2 linked regions of the Styela clava genome follow. The protein of the gene in region 2 purifies or fractionates together with the protein of the main gene of each other region. This does not show direct contact. Links are inferred from orthologs where the notes say so. Each region holds a gene or a part of one and is shown on either strand. Other genes may lie near its edges.

Region 1 (11,521 bases), on a different chromosome or scaffold from region 2:
ATCACCACACCCAAGTTCCTAATAGCATTAATCACTGGGTGAATAAAACTGACTATTTTGTTATAACAGTAAATCTGCAATCAAAGAAGTACTTGACACAAACAAAATATGTATATTGGACATTGATGAACAAGGGGTGCGAAATATTAAAGAAAGTGATATTAATGCAGTCTTTATATTCATCAAGCCACCCTCTATGGATGTGAGTTCAGATTTTAGTAAATTTACTATTTAAAATCCATTAAAACTGAATGTGAATTACTACTGAAACATAAAAGGTTCATTTACTACATCATAATATATTGTTTTACTTACATCAGTAAACCTGATGACTAACTTTCTATATCTCTATTGAATGGTATAGTTCCAGGTTACCGTATATTTCACATATAAGCCGACCCCATAAAACGGTGAATTTATAAAAGATTTGCATATAAGCGGACCTTGCCCAACTGAGCACTTCTCAGATTGAGATTTCAAAATAACAATACTACCTGAAATATTGATGTAATCAGTGTCTTAATTGTTAGCATGTCTGGCCTGGCCAAGTTGATGTGGCAAGAAAATTTCTCTAACTTAAATCAGAATGGTCCAAATAAATTAAATATAGTATTTGAGATCTGGTTATCGAAAAAAGCAAATGTTATGGATACTAAAAAATAAAAACTGTTATTTTGCACTAGAAATGACAATAATTTCTGTAAATTTTTCTGTTGAACAGGATTAATTTAGAAAATATTAGAGATTCCCAATGTGAAAATATTACCGTAGTTTGAATATGTCAGAATTAGTAAGTAGTAAAATGTTCGTTTGGCAAACACCATGTCCATGAGCTCACTCATGTTCTTGTTGATACCAATATTTAATAAAATATATAAAACTATTCAAGGAACTTCGAAGAAGATTGACATCAAGAGGTACTGAAACGCAAGAAAGTCTAGAAAGAAGAATGAGCACTGCCGAATCATCAATTTCATTCAGTGAGTAAATTCCCATCGTTTTATTTATTTTTAAAGTCATACATTGTCTGGAGCTGTTTTATTGTTTTGAACGTTTAATATTTATTGACTTTATACTCAATGGATATGCATTCAAACTGCAACGTTGCTCTTGCGCAACTTTGACTTACAGATACCATGAACGTTTCATGACACTGTATTTTTTTAAAATTGATTCTTATTTTGGGGTTACCTTAATAAGTAGACTTAGGTAGTGTACACACATTCACACAATATTCATGAATTAATACAATTAAATGCATGAAACTACCTTTACCATAACAGGTTACCATGTTAGACAAATATTATTTTATTGCAGCCAGCCTGTGGAAGGAGGGTGGCGTTAAATTGCTGTTTATTTAATATAAAGGTCACAAAAGACAAATAAAATATTTATAGAAATGGACACCTTAAAGCAAATGCTTAGTATATTAAATCCTTATGAGAAATGGACTGAATACCACCGCAGTATTGGGTGCTAATTTGCATATCATATTTTATTCATAGGCGAAAAACCTGGTGTTTATGACTTTGTCTTGGAAAATGGTGATCTGAATCAATCATATATCAATCTCCTAAGTTTTATGAAGCAGGTGAGATCAAGTTTGTATTATAGTTTTTCAGTATCAGCAATATAGTAATATTCACTTAACAGCCACTTAGTTGCAGAAATATTGGGTTAATATGTTACATTTGCATTGCACAAAATTTAGCAGCCACATCTTGCTAATTTCAGTTCAACCATTCAAACTAATCTGTGATGAATAGCATTACATGTTTCACAGCATTTTTCCAAAATACAATAGACATGTCCGAACTTATTGGAAAAGAGCAAGAGATACAATTCAAACGATGAGTTGCCGCTCGCTGCAAGTGTCGGAATGTTAGAACAAGCATCAAAATTGGAAGCGGGAGATGCTGGAAGAAACGTTTGTAATGGATTTTCAGAAATTAAATTGGAAAGTAGTGTGGCAGAAATACCTTTAAGCCCTACAAGAACTACTTCTGACCAAGAGAATCCTGCAGTCGTTAATGTTGGGGAAACTCCATTGCTACTTGTTAATGAAATCTCCGATGTGAATTTAAGCGAGAGCGATTCACCTGCAGTTGTCACACTCGAAGAGTCCGAAACAACTCTCCCTTCTGATGGAGTCTGTGGTCGACAGTCTTGGTGTTCTATTTCTTGACGACGAAGTTTATATAGAAATAATTGGTTTATTTTTTATTCATGAAGCCTCTGCAGCAAGTTTCATATTATTTATCATAAATGTAGTAAATATGTTTTAAGTTTTAGTTTAGATTTTCTTTTACTCGTGCACTGCATGCCACAATAGTTTATCATGAGTGTGAGAATTTTATTTTTTATCTTCTGCTGTCTGATTTCTGTAAATTTTGTTATCATTTTAGTATCGCATGAAAAGCTTGGTACACGATCATGATGTTTTGGTAATCACTGTAAGAGCTGAAAAGTTAAATAAGGCTGATAATAACAAGTCTAGCAGTAGCCAAAACCTCTTTTTCAGTTATCCAAACTAGTCGTTTCCTTGCTCCTCAATCATGAGGCCAAAACACATTTATGCAACAAGGCTAGTTCCACCTTTTATCGAATTACTATATGCAAAACCATAACCATTATTAGACTAATCAATTCGAATCTAAAGACCCTAGTCTCTCTGTATGCGAATTTGGTTGGTGCTTCATGTGTTTTATTTCAGTTTTAAAAATTGTGCATTGTGACAATCTTTTGTAATACTGTTCAATACAAAAATTCTGCATGAAAATGTGTATGTCATTGTTAACGTTGGCAGAACATAAAACGATATATTGATCCCTGACATAGGCACATGCATCCCATAAAGATGAGATGAATTTTTATGTTATCCAGGAGGGTGAATGCCCATTTTTCCGTATTCCAGACTCTCTGTCCAACTCCATCCACTGTTGACTAGAAATGTCAAGAAGGCTGTCGAGAAACTTATATTAGTTCACAGAAGCATACTGTTCTGTCAATTTCTCAGTCTTGTCAAGGTTACGCATATGATCTAGTGCAGTTGTTAGAAAAGCCCTAACTGTATTTATTTCCATCTGTGACAAATTATCCAGCTTGGCATAAGTAGCTTTCAGTTTTACAAATTTATCTATGCTGCTTCTTAACTTAGCAACTCTTATATCCAAAATGTCTTTAATAATAGTCCTTATACCATCAGCGTGGGGTATATTATCAGTTGCTTGATTTAGTAAAATATGGGAAATTTCCTGGAAGTAAGGACTAGGTAGAGGAGTAAAGAGTTCGCTATTGCTTTCATCTTCCTTCATTGTTTCCAATGTGGCAAGTTCCATCCAAGTAGGGCGTTGAATCTGACATTCATTTCTCTGTTTCAAATTAATTGCCAACCAAATTGGAACTTCTGTAGGAACACCGACATTAAATGGTCCAACTTCACCCGATATCAAAAACATTTTGTCAGAATTGAACTTGGGAATGATTGATACATGTTCTCTTTCAGCAAGAAATTCAATATCCACATGATCCATGATTAAGATGCTGTTGAATTACAATAATCAAGAGAGTTAATCATCCGGGAATGGCTGATTTTAGATGAGAGATTGGGGAGAATTAACAATGATAATTGATCAGAATATTCTAAACATAATTAGAATAGATGCAATTATAAAACTTAATCGAAATAATGGGGGATAAAACTTTCGATGATTTTGGCAGATGATTGTGTGTGGCATAACTCATAAGGTGATTCACATACATAAGTTACAGCTACCTACATCCCCATTATATATGAAATAGATTGCTACTCCAAGAGATGAAAAAGACAGAGGCGAAACTGTGGCTGGCTATATGATTCTGCTGTCTCAATCCATCGTCACAGTATGCTATTAAAAAATACTATTTGCAGCTTTTGAGATGATCACTTTTGATCACATTATAGTTTTTAATTGCAAATTGTTCTCATGAGTAGTTATTACCTGTTTGTGGTACTAATGTATAATGATATTGGTTGGGTTACAGTAAACTTACTTTTCATTTGATGTAAATGAAAAACAAGAGAAACAGCAACGCCACAATTTCATATTCGGATAAAATTGAGTCAGTAATTCATACTTGTGGTGACCTCAAAATTTTATTAAATTAATGGGTATGCTATTAATTATTAATCTGATATTGGTATCTGTTTAGTAAAATTCTCTATATAGCTGTATAGTGTACTTCGGATTATTTTGCTTATAGTTTTCTGCTCTTTTTTGATTTATTATTATGACTAAAAAATCTCTCTCTTCAGTGTGACGTTGCAGGGGCCAGGCCCTCAAGTAGAAACTGCTTTTTGTACAGCTGTAAGCAGATCAATGCAGCAGTTTATGAAAAGATTTTTAACTAGGCATATCTGCATCCTCCAGTACCGGTACGGTAAACTATTTCGGCAGATCTCAATCAAATCAAATTTTACGGTATCTCCGTATAGCCTACAGGTATAGGATTTTTGACCAATGGTACAATTTACAGGATTTCAATGCCACTGTTTTATATTTCTGTACCGGTATTTATCACACGTTAGAGTTCGTGAAATCAAATTGTACCATAGTTTGCAAAGTAAAACTTCTCTCCTTCCTGATTCCTGCTCCCGCCCTGGCCAAGACAGACAGATACTATTTATAGATGTTGTTTTGTCTAACAAACTCCTTTGTACAAACAGTTTTGTACACTCCACCCATATCCCTGTTACCGCATCCACCCACCCTCCTCGCACAACTGCCTGTATAAAGGACCATATTGTACATATTTGATTTACCCTATTATAATTTATATAAATCAAAGGGGTGTATGCCGCACATCTGTGTTTTAGGCCAATATGGTCTTGTGCATACATCCCGTCTTCAGTATTTATAAGTACTTACTCTTTTATATTGCTTTTACGAGACGAATAAACATCCATACATACATACTGAGATACCGGCACAGGTTTGTCCCTAACCACTCGTAAAATATCCTGAAAATCCCGCGTCGCAACCATTGAGGTATGAACTGTTTTCATCCATTCCAATCCATACTGACAATAAACAAATTTTACTTTTTTCGCCGCCAGATAGCAGCACAGAACAACATTTTTGTTGTGAAAACAACAAAGCTCGGTGAAAAAAACCCAACAACATGGCCATTCAGCTCTCGCCACACTCAGATGATGTTTGCCTGTCGCTCTGCCAGCTTTTTTAGGGGGGGGGGGGCGTCCCTTACGGTTTCCCTCGAATTTACATTGAGATTGGAGAAAAGGACAATAACAGTATTAGTTATATAAGTAGTGTAGATTTTATTGCAATTATTCTTTTGTTATCAATAGTTCGATATAAAATTTGGATTATGCAGTATTATTCAGTTATTGGATTCAGTATTTGAAAATAAAACACCTGATATTAAATTGCAGAATTTATGTGAAGCAATTAGATGTACAATACATTGTAGACTATAATACATTTGCTAAGTTTTTTTTTTTTTCTTTTTTATTGTATTATATCATTAGAATTATTATTTATTTTCTCATTTTCAACAAATGGATTATGAACTCAAAATGGAGTATGGACTTATTTTATTTTGTACATTTATTTATTTTTTGCATATTCATTAAAATCACTCATTGAGTGAGCCAATTAAAAAAACAGTATTATGATTAGAGAGATTATTGTTAAATTGAGCAAGCATTACAGGTACAGTACCGTACCATACCAATCACAAATCAAGAACGTATGACCCATGTCTAAATGTAGCTGTGGGTTAGTTAACATACAGATATCTGGATATATAGCTCTTAGTTTATTTTGTTTGTCAGTTTGTGATATTTCTATACTACGGTAGTCTACTGCTACGGTTTATGATATCTATATACAGTATGGCACAGTTCTTCGATTTCCAAGAATAGCCCTCACAATATGAGACATCAATTATAATAGCGAAAACTACTTTACGTCTGGGACACCATATCGCTACAAATCAACTGCGCAATAAACTCAAGGAAAGCAACATTTAAAAATGACACTCTTGGATTCCTCGGAAAATATAATTTGATTTACAGAAGAAAAAGAATTTTATCACAGCATTCAATAGGTTTTGTCAAAATTTGGTCACATGAAGGCCGACACACGTCGCGATTGATTTAAATTATTATCAGGAGAAGCATCTACGCAATTTGCGACGTACCAAACACCATCGTTTCAAAGACAAATACAGTGTTCGTTTTATGGAACCAAATGTCGGGATATCTTGGAATAGGAGCACTGTGCTCTACTGATATATTGTTTCATGGTTTTGTTCACATAGTCTTCAAGATTATTCACTTTTATCCCTTTTGTGTATTGCCGTATCACTTGTCTGTATATTTATGCAGTAATCATTAATTAAAACATTTAAACACCTCACTTATAGTTTGTAGAGTGTCTTGGATTCTTGGAAGTTAATTAGATAGGCGAGCATGTTAATAATGTAGGTAGCCAATTAATAGCCAATTAATTTATTTGAACTCATTTCACTTTAAGTTATAATTTCTAGTTTAGTTGGTACAGTTGAGTAGTGCTTTTTGAATTCGTAGTTGTCTCTCGCGAATGAAATTTTTTGTAATATTTCATACATTAAAGTAATATTTGATACATTAAATTATTGATTTTGGAAATATTTAGGAAAGTTTTAAATATATGTTAATAAATATATGATTCAAAGCAAAGTAGGGAATAGTTCTTCAATTTCAAGAAAACAAATACTCTATATGTCTTGAAAGCGAGTGCATCTGATGCACCAGATCACGCCATGCATGTTTCGATGATAATTTAAATCAATTGTGACGTGCCTTTTCAGTTTTGGTAAAAATATTTTCATTCTGTAAATCAGAATATTTCATCAGAGGAATCCAATTTTATGTTGCGGTTTGCTGATTTGTGCCAATATGAAACCCCAGACTGCCTCCTAAAGAAGGATTTCGCACTCACTGTCAAAATTGATGTCTTTTACTGTAGGGGATATTCTTGGAATTTGAGAACTGTGCCGTACAGTAACATATTCAGAAAAAGGCAACTATTGCTTGAACATAATTGGAATACTATATGAGGTGTCATATTGATATCATTTATGTCTCTTATATTCTGAGTTCAAAAGTTCATATTCAGTAAAGAATATCAAAATCTGGATTAGTTCAATTTTTTTTATACTTTTATTTTCTATCTACAGCCTGTGATTAAGTATGTAGATAGAATGACCTAATAAATCTTAAAAGACTTTTGAAGGATGGTGTAACATAAATTTTAACATTTCAAAAATTTCTACCAATTACTCTTGCTTCCTATAATGGATACTACGGACTCAGCAAACAACAATTTTACATCAAACACCACAGGAAATGGACATCCACGAAGTAGATTGGAAATGATGAGGAAACAATTTGTAAGCAAACAGGCAGGACGTACCAGTCAACCTCACCATAGTGCTAGACCGGTGAGAAAATGTGCTTGTATTTTGCACAAATATGGCACTTTAATTTTCCATTTTCTAGGTTTGCACATAGAAAGCTCTCACTGAAACCATTAGGCCTACTACATTATAGATTGGAAAAAATCTTCACATTGGGTAGGTGAAAATCTAGTGTTACTAAGAGGATTACCATTGGAAGTGAAGGATTAGTTCTTGACTATGAATGGACTTATCACTTGTCTGTCTCTGTCATGCTAATGACGTCCGTATGGCCGTACAATTTATTGTGATTTGATTTGGTATCTAAAATTGTTTCTTCATGAAATAGGTTGGATTTTTGAAAAATTTGATACAAATAATCCATTCACTATAAATAAAGTACCGTAATTATTTTGAATATAAATATACTTAATAAGGGATAAACATATCATTGTTTTTAACTATTATGCTTCCCAGTATATGGTTTTCTTATCCCAGGAGGAAATAGTTCTAGATCGTAATTTTGCAATTTGGTAAAATTATTTTCTGTTTGAACCACTCCAAATTGTGCTTAGTAAGAATCAACTTGGGGCTCTGATACAAACCTGTGTACCCCTTTACCTCCATGATCTATGTGTTTGAGATTTTTTCATATAATTCTTGCTCATATTGAATATAAACTGAATTACATACTACTTATTAGAAGATTCTATTTATAAATAGTTTTTCCATAAATAGAAATTTAATTTGAACAATTTAGTGTTGAGTTGATCAATCTTTTCCGGTATTAAAAGGATTCGAAAAGGCGAGCAAATTTATTTGAACATAATATATATCTTTTGAGATTGACATCCATTTTATTGTTTATCTTGTCATTTCAATCTTATTTTTAGTGGACCAAAACCCAGGGATAATCACTGGTAGTATAATTCTTATAAATTACGGCTGAAGATATGAATATGGATATCTAATAAACCATATTTGTCTGTCTACTTTAGACCTTTAAATTTTTTTTTTTTTTTTGTAAACCTTATTGGAAATATTCCTTAATTCTTGTGTTAATTGATTCAGTTTTCTAAGTTTTATTATTTATTTAGAAAACTGGCATTCCAGTACAAAGTTCCAGCAGTCCAGAGAAGAAACATCACCCACCGAGACATATTGCTCCTCCATCAGCAAGAAATTTATTGAACAGCGTGATTGGTAAAGAAATGAGATCTGGGAACTCTAGACGCCAGGGTGCGTTGATTTATTGTGTTTATCAACCTATTGGGCCTACCTGTCATTTGACTCTATTGAAGAACCATGTAAACAACTCTCTCTGATTTGAAAAATATTATTCAATAAAGTGCGAGACAGGCATCTACTAGACACAATTTCCACACCATGATTAACTAAAACAATTTTCATGTTCCGTTTTGCAGCAAGAGCTGTAATAAAATCATACTGTAAACAATCAGGCATTATTTTCTTTATTTTCAACCACAAATGAAGCATTTAACATTGATAAAATAGTAGACCATATCATTGAGATTCTCACGAATCGCCAATTTTCTTCATAGCATTTATTTAACACTTCAGTTGATCTACTATTATAATGTCTAGGATGCTGAAAGAGCACTAACATCTTATTTTGCCATGTTGTATTGAATTTATTTTAATAATGTAGGCTCCCAAAAATATGCACTGTCAACAATTATTAATAATAAAATTGTTAATATTGTCGGCACCAAAAAATTATAAAAAGTCCACTTTTGCAATTTATATTATTTTGTAGAGCATAACTCATCAGACAATACTGGAACAAGTGTGGCAGAATCAAATAATGATGCCAAGGCTGCAGAAAAAGATCAAGATGAAAACGCTTCTGTTCCTCCCACATTGCGGTTAGAACAGCACATTGAGGAATCCGATATCAGAGAGAAATTGAAAAAACAACACATTAGACGGCCTATCCATCGTGGGGCTATGACATACAGAGTGAGAGATCATGGTAAATATCAACTTTGTTTTGTCTTTAAATATGATAAAAACATCGATGATTCATCAAATTTTTGTTTGTAGTCCAACAAAAAATAAAAGTAGTGAGAATTCTTAATTACAGGTCATATGTACATATAATGAAAACCATTGACTAAAATTGTTAGAATATTTCATCGAACAATGTTATTCTACCACTTTTTCCATCAGTAATGTAAGATAACTGATTTTTTCATGAACTTGTGTTGGTTGCCACTTCTACTTATGACTCATTTGAATAGGGATTGCTTAGTAGTCCTTAATAATAGTTGATATAAATGGTAGGTGAATAAAATATTTTAATAATAATCTGGTACTGATTGGGATTTCTATATTAAAATATTTTTGTAATGTATAATTCTGCTTTTACGATTAATTTTATTCGTAAATGAACTAGATCTATTTTATAGTAGAACCATGATACATGCTAAATTTGACATTAATAATCCTATTTTCACTATGACATGTCTAATTTAAAAAAATATCGATGGCACTTTTTTTGTTATACCAACCTTTTGAATAAAATTAATTTCAAGTTTCATTTACTGGTAACTAAATTTTTGAGACATATGGTAAACAATAATATTAGTGAAACAACATTCAAAAAATCAAGAACAATTGATTTAGAATGTTCTATTTGCCTTATGATACTATATAAGGTATGGTCTGTTATGTTTGCCACTACTTTTTATTAAATGGCTATATTTAGTTTTATGTGGGTGTTCTGATTCTCAGCATGTGTGAGGTGTGTGAAAATAATCAAAAAGGAAATTCTTTATGTTCTATATTATTATGCAAACATTAAAACCGTACATTGTTCCAGGAAACATCATCTTTTGAAATGCAAATTTTCGATTTTATTGGCTTTTAGCAATTTTGTTTTATATTGAAATTGGAGTAATAGAATTATGAGAAACATGGCTTTGCTTTAACTTACTCAACTTATAGACAGCCTGGAAGGCATAAACTAGTAATATTTCAATTTTATCTGTACATCTTCATTTACAGTAAAACCACCACCTTCTAATGACACTGAAAATGAAAATATACTCAACCAAATAAGAGGAAAGGGGCCTATGGTAAGTGGCTCTAATTTTCTAATAAGGTTATTAAATGGAAATGGCACTTTTGATTATTTGATTATAGAGACATGTTAATTTATAATGTGTGTTTTAGGTGCTATCAGGCAAGTAACTCAGGCACAGAATTTTTTTAATAATCTAATTATACATTTATTTATATTATAATAACTACTCAATATTGAAACATTATGTGTGCATCTACCCTACATTTAAATTGCTTCACCATCAATAAACTAACACTGACAAAACTATTTAGTTTTACAATTCATCATTCCTTTCTGTAATTGAAATGGCAGTGGCATATTTTTGTCCTCTTCTTTCAGTTGGGATTATTTACGTTGGACAATGGTAGTAAAGTGTAAGCTTTTGTCTGAATTAAAAATAACTTTTCCGTGATGGGCATGCAATGTATTATATATGAAATATATTTTGGCAATAACCCAAATCTATTAAACATGAAATTTATTGCGACAACAAATCATACCAAAAAGGTAAAATGTCGTTTTTTCAATTTAATAAGGTATATTTTACAGCATTGTTCTAATATTTTTATTTGAAAATATTTGAAATTGTTTTAATAACAGTCAGGTTTTGGATACTTTCAATTCTGTAAATTGCCAAATTCAATTATTAATGTCTGACTATGTCAGCATTGTTATTATCTTCAGATTGGAAAAAAATTTTCCTAATCAATGCCCCATGTATGATTACTAGTATTTAATGGAAATTACATGAAAAACGTGGATTGGAAAGCGATGCCTATCTAAGTACTCTTTGTCTGTGAATTGTGTTATTTTTGAAATCTCATTTAATTTTCCATGGTCAACCTTTGCAGGTCGTTAAAAACAATGTTAGCGTGACCGACGTTGGTGAGACGGAAAAGGAAACCAATAGAAGTCATGTTGTACACCAGGTTCTGTATATATGCTTTCTGTAAATAGGAATATTGACAAAACCCCTTTTTTTGTATTTTTTTAAAA
Region 2 (10,820 bases):
CAAAAACGGGTATTTTGAAATAGTACTCTTTATTTTACGCGTATGTTTCGACAGTATTTCCATATACTGTATATGGGTCGCTGTATACTGTATAGTTTGTGCACCAAGATTGCGCACAGCCTGAACATAGTATTGTAACAGGTTATGGTTCAGGTTGTGCGTCATTATGATGCACAGGTTTGACAAAAAACACTAATACAAATATCGAGCCGTAAAAAAATTGCTCAAGGCTGCAAACTCCACACCCATGTATAAATGATTTGAAATGAGAAAACTTTATGTCTGAAATAAAACTTGGGCCAAAAAGGGCCCCTTATCTGCCGGACTATAAATAGTGGGTCCAACTCTAAAAACGTAAAAAGTGTTTCGGAATTTTTTCAATCCTTTCATTGCACATATCTTTTTGAATCGATTCTCTAACTAACAATTGACAGTGACTATCCGGTTAGGTAAAGTGTAAACTTACGGGTATTTCCCTTATTCGAATATGAAAAAATATTGACATTCCAAGTAACTGATTCCACGCCAGTCCAGTCCTCACATATCAATTAGGCGGCAGCCCCTGTTCACCGATGCCAACTTACCAATAGATCTTGATAAACTTCAGAGCATCCTTACTAAATAACTGAATCAATAATAGATTCATTCCTGGTCTTGTTTTAGTCAGTGAGAGTCATATTGACAAAGAAGGCTACCCTTTATCAAATCATAATGTCATGTGTTGTATTCTATATGATATTGATGAGGGTAAATTGACATTCACGAATGCAGTGATTTTTAACTCTTTGGGATTTGTGGAATACGTTTTATATATATCATAAAGTGCTCGCGAAACACCGGAATTTCAGACTTCAATTTTTTAAAGACAACTTGTTTCAAGGACCACAATGCCCGTGTTTATGTTGTTTATATATATATCGTTTATAATATACTATTATGCTGATGCCATTTTGCAGGGCCTGAGTACTGTAGTAACATTCGAATTTGTATTATGAGACTCCGATAACCCACGCAATGTGCGAAGGAAAATATGTCTCTCGCTTATTTCGCCGTTCATTGGACTGGGGAATAGCGCATTTTGGTTATGTCTGCTGCTTCGGTTATTTCAAGTGTCGAGTTGCCGTTTGCATGAATAACCAGTCTTGGGTCTCTCTTCCAACAAAGAATGTTTCATGGGATTTGATGACATTCTTGAAATACAATTTATCAATTGTGTATTATTGGCTGCCTGCTTTTTTATATATAGATGCCGGATCCAGAAACGAAAACCATTTTTTGATGTTTTTTATAAATTTATTCGTGATGTTCGTGACAACGAGAAAAATATAGCAATGAAAAATGATCAAATCCTGATACACAAAAGAAAATGGCATTTATTTATATAATAGTCAATAAAGTGATTTTTTGCTATTAAATTACATGTTACTGTTTTTCTTTCCATTTTTGCCGATTGATTGTCCTTATATAGTATATACATAAAATGTGACATTTTCCTGTTTTCTTATAACATTATTAGACTACAATTACAAACATTGTGAAAAATTATCTTTTATAACTATATTGCTGATTTAAAAACTGTTTATTTCAATATTCTATTTGCTAAATGATTGTCCTTGGGATTTTTTCAGTTTTCTTATAACATAATTAGACTGCGATTGCAAACATTGTGATCAATTTTATAACTGTATTACCAATATCGTTTATTTCAATATAAGTTTATTTGCTGAAAAAAAAAAAAACTCTTGGGTCTCTCGATCTAACAACCACAGTTAAAAGACAGAACTGTAGAATTTGTTACCATCAACATGTAACGGTTGATGTCCTCTTCCACTATCGAAATGGTACTGTTATTTCAAATGCCAGAATTGTTGAATTTTGATGCGTTTCCGTTCTAAATATGTAATGTTTTGCATGAAATCTTTGAATTGTTGACTATGTTAAATGAATTTTAGGTGCAGTGTTCAAACATTGTTTTTTTCAAAATTGCGTTACTTTGATACTTTCATATATATTAGCGCAACATATAGGTTCTGAAAAAGACCAAGTTATGTATCGTATAATAGGCTATTTTTCCAAGTCAAGTTAATTAAGTTAATTAAACAGTTCTACTGGGAAAGGGAAGTCGTGGGGACCAAAACTGGTCACCGAGCAGCAAAAACCAAGGTTAAATTTCTAATTGGAATTTAGAATCGGGAACCTACTGTTTTTGACGGTGTTATCCAACTACCGTAACATCGCTCACTAGAGGTGGTTGGTTACTAGAGATTGCAATGAACAGTCAAAAAGTCTACTGCTGAACGGGGAGTTTCCGAATCCAGCCGAAAGAATATTACCCTGTTGTTTATTCCGAATTTTCATGCTGGCCATGAACATTGACAAGAATTCGCATTTGGAAATCATATTTGAATTGCTAAATAATATTGCTAAACATATACCTAACTTCAAATTTCCGACTCGGGGTTATGTTTGGTAGCGAGTAAACTCGTTTGATAGTAAGCGCTAAGCAGTGTTGCATGATAATCGTGTTAATATTTATGTTTAATAATTCATGCTCGAACGCTCTTTATGAGTCTTGCCTGACGCAATGAAGTTATTGTGTATTGTCATAAGGCAAACCACACCCTATATCTCGTGTATGGTAGTGTTAACCAAGTTGTCGTTTTTTATACCTACTTTTGTGCATACTAAGGTAGAGACCAGGATGACAGCCCATTTGAACCCACGTACATATGCACTCGTAAACCCCTAGGACATTTGCACCCACCGACACTTGAACCCATACATTTTCATTCATAGATTTACGCACCAGCGGACATTTGACCCCTGTACATCTGCACTCGCGGAAATTTGCACCCATGTACATTTGCACCCATAAACATTTGCATCCACAAACATTTGCATTCATGTACATTTTCACCCATGACATTTGCACCCTGGACATTTGAAGCCGCGGACATTTGCACTCACGTACATTTGCATCCATGGAAATTTGCACCCACAAATATTTGCACCTATGTAGGCCTACATTTGCACTCGTGAACATTTGCACCCATGAACATTTGCACCCTGAACATTGCAAGAACTGATTAAAATTTGTAAACAGATTATACAATGAGTTGTTTTAATGTTTTATTTGAAGTCGCGGACATTTGCACCCACGTACATTTGCACCCGTGGATATTGGCACCCACAGACATTTGCACTCATGTACATTTGCTCCCACAGACATTTGCACCCATGAACATTTGCACCCATGGATATTTGCACTTATGCACATCTGCATTCACAGTCCGGAAGAATCGGGCCCTAACATTGTTTTGAGACATGAAGTTTTTTTTTTATTGTTTAGAAATAATGTCGATGACATAAATAATGATACCCAGGTGGGTGTGGAGTATATAATGTTGAGCAATTTTTTCTAAGCGGATTTCAAGTATTCGTACCAAGATGACGCACATCCTGAATCCTAGCCTGGTACACATACAATGTTCACGTAAAATCGACAAACGTGTATAATGACAAAAGTAAAAAATGTAATTATACACATAAGAATTCATACAAGTGAGAGATTCATAGCAATAGATAAGGAATCGCGAAAGACTGTGACAGTCATCGAGTCAGCGACACCTGTGGGCTGAAGAGGGAATGACAAAAAAATTATACAAATTTAATCAATCAATATTAACAGAAAAACAAAATCGCAACATATCACCAGAGAAACGACTTCGACTCGACAAAAGCAGGATTTTGCAACAAGTTGTTTACAGCAGTGCCCTTCAACCGGTTATACGGTATACCAAAGTGTATACCGGGCTATAAGTTGGGTATACAACTGATAAAGGGTAAACGAAGGGTGTGCAGCCTAGATCAGGGCGAAGAACCGACCTGAGCACATTGTTACATCACGAATTATATAGATAATGCGGTCACGTGTCTGGGTTGGTGATTTCGGCTGCCATGCACTTCGTTTGATTTATGTTGAACATTATTCCCGTTGACGCTGAGGCCGTCAGTCAAATTTATAACTTGATCAAGAGTGATCATTAAATTAACTGATTTTTATTTAAGTTTCCGAAACACAACTGAAAACTAACGAATAGAGTTCAAAAACACAAAAACGAGATAATGTTTAAGACCACGCTTGAAAATCTGTCTGAGTGAGAAAAGTGTCTGAGCGGATGCGAAAAGGGGGCATTGTTACGTCACTTTTTGCATCTTGCTGATTGGCCAATGTCACGAAGTAAACAAGGAAGTCGATGCTCGGGGAAAGGTCCATTGCATGATGAGATTGCAGTAAAATATGTGCTTGAAATTTTATGTTTATTTAGGCCTTAAATGAAAATTGGTATTTGTAAGGTATACCACATTAAAAAAAATAAAAAAGGTTGAAGAACACTGGTTTAAAGCACTTTCTACTCTTTGAATTGTTGCGTCATAAGGATAAGGATAATATATACATATTTATCACGGGGGAGAGGAAAGCCGATAAGACGGCTTATTCATATGGCGAACCACGGCCTCCCGTTCGGTTACCATTCCAAGTCGGTTATGGGATTAGTTATATTGTTTGTTTTCGGTAGCATGGACTTGGTGGTAGAGGAAGCCGTAACCGACCAGCGGTTACGTGAACCACCCAACGACGGCGAGGAGTCCAGCAATCCTCTCGCACATAACCATCCCTGCATGGGATTCGAACCTGCGAACCCACGCAGAGTAATTAGAGGTGCGGTGGCTAGCATATTCCTAACGCTTAGCCCGTTGAGCCACACCGCCGCGCCGCGTCATAATGGTGTCCACACCGATGCGGGTTGTTTTCCCCGATCTGTGTTAATGGATGAAAATCCAAATTGCGTTCGGGTTTGTGGTGGTGAATTCGTCTTCATCACTATTCATTCGCTATTTCGGCGCAAATGGCAATATAACCTCTTTGTCTTAAAAGTGTGGTATCCAAAGGGTGTATATGTTTACTAGTGCAAAATTAAGTAGGATGAAGCGAATATCCGTGGGTGCAAATGTACGCGAGTGCAGTTGTGCGTGGGTGCAAATGTATTGCGGGTTCAAATGTGCGCAGGTGCAAATGCCCGCGGGTGCAAATCTACCGGATGCAAATGTCCGTGAGTGCAAATGTCCATGTGTGCAAATGTCTGTGGGTGCAGATGTACACTGGTTGAAATGTCCGAGAGTGCAAATGTCCATGGATGCAAATGTTCAAGAGTGCAATCTGTATGCGGGTGCAAATGTATGGGTGCAATTGTTCATGAGTTCGAAAATCTGTGGGTGCAAAAGTATGCAGGTACGTGTAATTGTCCTGGGTGCAAATGTACGTGGGTTCAAAGATAATGAAGGCAGAGACCAGATATAGACGATGTACGATCAGATGATTCATCAAATCTAACCTACCGGTAATATTTTTTATGACATCTAAAGCGTAAATAAATACTAATGCGACTGAAGTGATTCGGTAGGCAGCCTGAGCATCAGGCTGCAAGTGGAAAAATTGAGAAACACCGTCTTAATCAGTATACAATTCATATATAGTAATCAATCATTAATATAATATTTTAATTTTACATCAAAACGAACGCAATTTAGAAACCAACGACTAACATATCGAAACAAGGGAGTCAAGGACCCACCGCTGTCGCTGGTTTGCTGCAATAACACGCATCAGCGATTAGAAGTCCACTTTGTTTCCTTATTCTGAAACCCCGCGAAACATGGACACGTGATCTGATCCTGGAAGTCTTGCAAACTCTTCGTTCGTTTTTGCCGTTTTGTTTCTGCGGGGGTATTTTTTGGATTAAATATAGTCAATATGATGGATGTGGACATTGATGAGGAATTACGGGAAGCTGAACGCCAATATTTGGATTTTCTTGATGATGAAGTCACAGACCAAGGTGTGTATTCTGCGTTGGTTAGAGAAATGATTGAGAAGGGAAGATCCCGAATTGTTGTTAACATAAACGATCTCCGGCGACGAAATAATGTGCGAGCTAAAAAGCTTTTGGATAATGGTTTTGATGAGCATGGTGCTTTTCAACGTGCTCTGAAAAATTATGTTGCTTCCATCAACACTGAATATGCAAAGCAACACGAGGAGTTTTTTGTTGGATTTGAGGGAAGTTTTGGGTCAAAGCATGTAACTCCTCGTACCCTAACAGCATTGTATCTTGGTAGCATGATATGCCTTGAAGGCATTGTTACGAAGTGCTCACTTGTTAGACCAAAAGTTGTTCGTAGTGTTCATTATTGCCCCGCTACTAAGAAGACTTTAGAAAGAAGATACACTGATATGACCTCTACAACACCTTTTGTATCAAGTTCTGTGTACCCAACTAAAGACGAAGAAAATAATCCATTAGAAACCGAGTTTGGATTATCAGTTTACAAAGATCACCAGACCTTGACTGTGCAAGAGATGCCTGAAAAAGCTCCAGCGGGACAACTTCCTCGATCGGTGGATATTGTTGTTGACAATGATTTAGTTGATCTCTGTAAGCCTGGTGATCGTGTCCAAGTCCTTGGAATATTTAGATGTCTACCTGGTAAAAAACAAGGCCATACTTCTGGTGTTTTCAGAACTATCTTGATTGCAAATCATGTAAAACCTCTTAGCAAAGAGGTTATACCAATGTTCTCAACCGATGACGTTGTTAAAATAAGGAAATTTGCAAACCAAAAAGGTGCTGACCCATTTGAAATTCTTGCCCATTCTTTAGCTCCCTCTATTCATGGCAATGAATATATCAAAAAAGCTGTGCTCTGTATGTTACTTGGCGGTACAGAAAAGATTTTGCCAAATGGAACAAGACTTCGTGGTGATATAAATGTTTTGCTGATAGGTGATCCAAGCACAGCCAAATCACAAATGTTGAGATATATTTTGCATACAGCACCACGAGCTATAACAACTACTGGTCGAGGAACAACTGGTGTTGGATTAACTGCTGCAGTGACTTCAGATGAAGAAACTGGAGAACGCAGACTTGAAGCTGGTGCTATGGTATTAGCTGATCGTGGAGTTGTATGTATTGATGAATTCGATAAAATGAGTGACATAGATCGTACCGCAATTCATGAAGTAATGGAACAAGGAAGAGTCACTGTGGCAAAAGCTGGCATTCATGCAAAGTTAAATGCTCGATGTAGCGTGTTAGCTGCAGCGAATCCTGTTTATGGTAGATATGACCAGTATAAGACTCCTATGGATAACATTGGAATGCAGGATTCTTTATTGTCTAGATTTGACTTGCTTTTTATCGTTCTTGATCAAATGGACCCAGAAAATGATCAAAGAATATCAGATCATGTGCTTAGAATGCATCAATATCGTGCAACAAATGAACAAGATGGCGACCCAATGCCAATATCGATTGGTGCAGATATTTTGTCCACAGATGATCCAGACTGCGAACAGAACAAAGATCAAGAAACGCCAGTATATGAAAAACATAATAAATTGCTGCATCGTGGATCTGGCAAAAAATCTAAAATGGTGAGTATTGCCTTTATGAAGAGATATGTTCATGTGGCAAAAATTATAAAGCCTACTTTGACAAGAGAGGCTGCGGAATGTATTGCAGAAGAATACACCAAACTCAGATGTCAAGATCAAGAGAATAGTGATGTAGCCAGAACCACACCAGTCACTGCTCGTACTCTTGAAACTTTAATTCGTCTTTCAACTGCGCATGCCAAAGCACGTTTGTCCAAGAAAGTAACTTTGAAAGATGCTCATTCTGCTATTGAGCTTGTGCAATATGCTTATTTTCATAAAGTGATGGAAAAAGAAAAGAAGAGGCGAAGAAAGACTCACGATAGCGACAGTGAAGATGAAGTCATTGAAAGTCAAAATACCTCAGTCCGCAAGAGGAGAAAGCGTGGGGATGGGAATGAAACCACTGGAGATCCAAATGACCCATATAATTTTGATTCGGCCGAAGAAGACACACCTGATGTCAGTGCTGTGGGTCGTCCTTCGCAACAACAGTCAACTGTTGATGTTTCAATGGAAGACAGTGAGCGTTCCACAACTGCTATTGATGAACAGAAGATGAATAAATTCAAGAAGTCACTTTTTGCCAAATTTGAAGTTGAACACACACAAAGCCTGCCCACAGCTGCCATTGTTGAATGGGTCAACAAGGATAGTCAGGAGTTTTCCAAGGACGATGTTGACACCTGTCTTTCACAAATGCAAGACAGCAATCAAGTGATGTATACGGATGACACTGTATTCCTCATTTAAAATCCAGGAGAATACATTCAATTTCCAGAATGTGTACATCAATGAACATATTGAACCTCAGAAACAAGAGACAATTTACCATTTCTTTTTACTTTATATGCCATCATGTTTGCTTTCTGCTGTTGAATTTGTTATCCATAGCTCTTTCGTAAATGTTCCAAATGTAAATCTGTACAGATAGTTTTGTTATTGTGAAACTTATACGCAGTGCTTGATTGGTTCCATTATGAGATTAGTTCAGCAAATGAGCAGGCAAGAAAAAAAATTAGTTTTTTGCAATGTCCTCCACGCTGTTGTAGGTTTTTACCCAAGATTCTATAACATGTTGCATAATGCTAGATTACTTAATAGCAGTCAGTGTCAGGCAACCACTTTCATCAAGGCGTACTACAGGCAAGTCCACTGGTCTTGTCCATCTGTATGCCATTAGATGAAGTGCATTGTAGCAAATTACAAATTCTCGACTTGTCAGAAACTTGTTTGCTAGTTCTATAACTGGGATTTGGGCCCAATGGGAATGCGCTGATACTCAGCCTATACTTGCGATTGGTGCCAGCCAAGATATTTGTTCACCAAAGACGTTTGTCTAATAATTCGTAAGGCCAGTGTTACGTAACAGTTGGCATTTGAAAGATTAATCGTGAATTAATAAAAATGTCCCACAAATAATTACCTCAGTATATATGTTCCGCCATTTTATTAAAGTAATGCAGCATGAAAAGTACACAAAAACCGCACGAATGAATATAGCAATAAAATCAATTAGATACAGATGTCAGTCAATATCATTCCATAAGCACATAATGCTAACATTTGCAGTTCAGGCAAAAAAATCCAAGCCCCACTTCTGATCTTAAAAAGGCAAAACCTACTAAAATCTGAATAATGTCATGACATACTGCAAAATATTAAGTGAAACAGTATATAGATAGCAATTAATTCACTATAAGCATATTAACTACAAATAGAATAAGAGTTGAAACATCATACTAAATATCAAAGTAAAACTAAATAAGCACAAGGGCATATAACATAGTCTTAAATACAATTTGAGACACGTTTCTATTATTATATGCAGAATTCTATATAGTTCACAGCTGATAGTTCTCATGGATTTGGTACTATTTGCTGTACAGGTTTATAATTTCATTATGCTTGTGTTGTACTGATATACGAAACAGGGAAACAGAACTTGAAACAAAGGGGAGCACAACTCTAATTAAAACAACGCACGACATGACTGATACAATATTTTGAATGAATTTGTGCATGATAAGACTATTGAATAAAGATTTGTCCTACATTGCCAGCATGAAGACAGATAAATTATGGGACGGTGTCAATATCGGATTTCACCAAACAACATCGTATTTCTGAATGCTTTGATCAGTTACGACTACTGGATAGTTGACAAAACAAGCAAATGTTAGAATATTTGAAAGACGTTAAGCATTTAAAAATTCTAACAAAATATCCAGGGGTCCGATTGCTTTGATGTTATCAATATTTCCAGACTGACTAAACTGAGACAATATAACTTAGACCCATTTAAACAGAAAAAAATCATGTCATGTTTCAGGTGACAAAATTAACTCACCTATGTTAACCAGCAAGACACTAAATGGGTAATAATATATTTTATTTTACCAATATATCTGAATAATATAGTATATACCCTTTTTTCAATTCTCAATATTATTTTGTGCATCAAGATTAGAAATGAAATCAGAACAGACCCACAACAACATATTTGACAATTAAAATTATTGTACAATCTATCACCAATACCTAATCAGTCACATGGAAATCCATAAAATATATAACCAGGAAGCTGTAAAAGTAATTCATATAGTTCCAGGATGTAAAACACAAAATTTACTGTGCTTATCTACAGAGTTTGATTGATAAAAGCAAAGTATTTGATATTGAATGCAAGAAAACAAACCTGTGAATTATTGTATCACCTCGATTAAAATGAATTGATCCCCAATGGATGTAAAAGTCTGTCACCATAAGCTAGTGTAGTTTACCCGGGGTATCGAGAGGTTACGCGAGTTACTATTTAAATCCAGGAGTTTGTATTAAATGATGTATAATTATAATCAAATACCTTTAGTATTTGAAAACATTGTTAAACTGGTTGCCCTTTAAGGTCAATTTCATTTTGCCAGTATTAGGTTTGCTTTTATATACATAGAGTATATTACCATACGGATAATGAAAGAATTAATTGAACTATTGCACAGGGGTTTTGCTAAGTCTAAAAGGTTGAAAACCACTGGCTCACACAGATGTAAGCATGTTTGGCAGACAGCTTTCACACCTCTGATATAGACGACAAAATTTTAAGACATTTTTAAGGGGGCATTCGGATCAATAAAAAATTCAGTAGTTATGAATTTATAATCATGTTGCAATAAAAGGGTTTGTTGTAACATCATGGAAATACATTGAACCGGTTGCACCACTCTGCGGACCTTCACCTAAACGCACCAGATTCAGCTAGTGCTCACACAAATATATATAATGAGACTATTATAATGTATAAACAAAAACTTGTGAAGATAAA

Evidence for each region.
Region 1: the proteins of DNA replication licensing factor MCM3-like (region 2) and DNA replication complex GINS protein PSF2-like purify together in Drosophila melanogaster (affinity purification with western blotting; 3 studies listed by BioGRID, with this or other methods). This does not show direct contact. The link is inferred for Styela clava from reciprocal best matches to the Drosophila melanogaster genes Mcm3 and Psf2.

The regions. Positions count from the first base shown.
Region 1 is NC_135252.1:9,321,248-9,332,768, forward strand, and holds DNA replication complex GINS protein PSF2-like, read right to left. Parts: upstream 5,050-11,521; 5' UTR 5,045-5,049; coding exon 4,908-5,044; intron 4,868-4,907; exon of another isoform or gene 4,590-4,867; intron 4,180-4,589; exon of another isoform or gene 4,086-4,179; coding exon of another isoform or gene 4,033-4,085; intron 3,544-4,032; coding exon 2,979-3,543; 3' UTR 2,683-2,978; downstream 1-2,682. Other genes in the region: guanylate kinase-like, read left to right, coding at 70-202, 890-980, 1,506-1,591, 1,805-2,185; mitogen-activated protein kinase kinase kinase 1-like, read left to right, coding at 7,339-7,485, 8,538-8,679, 9,218-9,433, 10,468-10,538, 11,377-11,454. UniProt on the Drosophila melanogaster protein: The GINS complex plays an essential role in the initiation of DNA replication.
Region 2 is NC_135257.1:13,037,868-13,048,687, reverse strand, and holds DNA replication licensing factor MCM3-like, read left to right. Parts: upstream 1-5,689; 5' UTR 5,690-5,815; coding exon 5,816-8,251; 3' UTR 8,252-8,452; downstream 8,453-10,820. UniProt on the Drosophila melanogaster protein: Acts as a component of the Mcm2-7 complex (Mcm complex) (Mcm complex) which is the putative replicative helicase essential for 'once per cell cycle' DNA replication initiation and elongation in eukaryotic cells.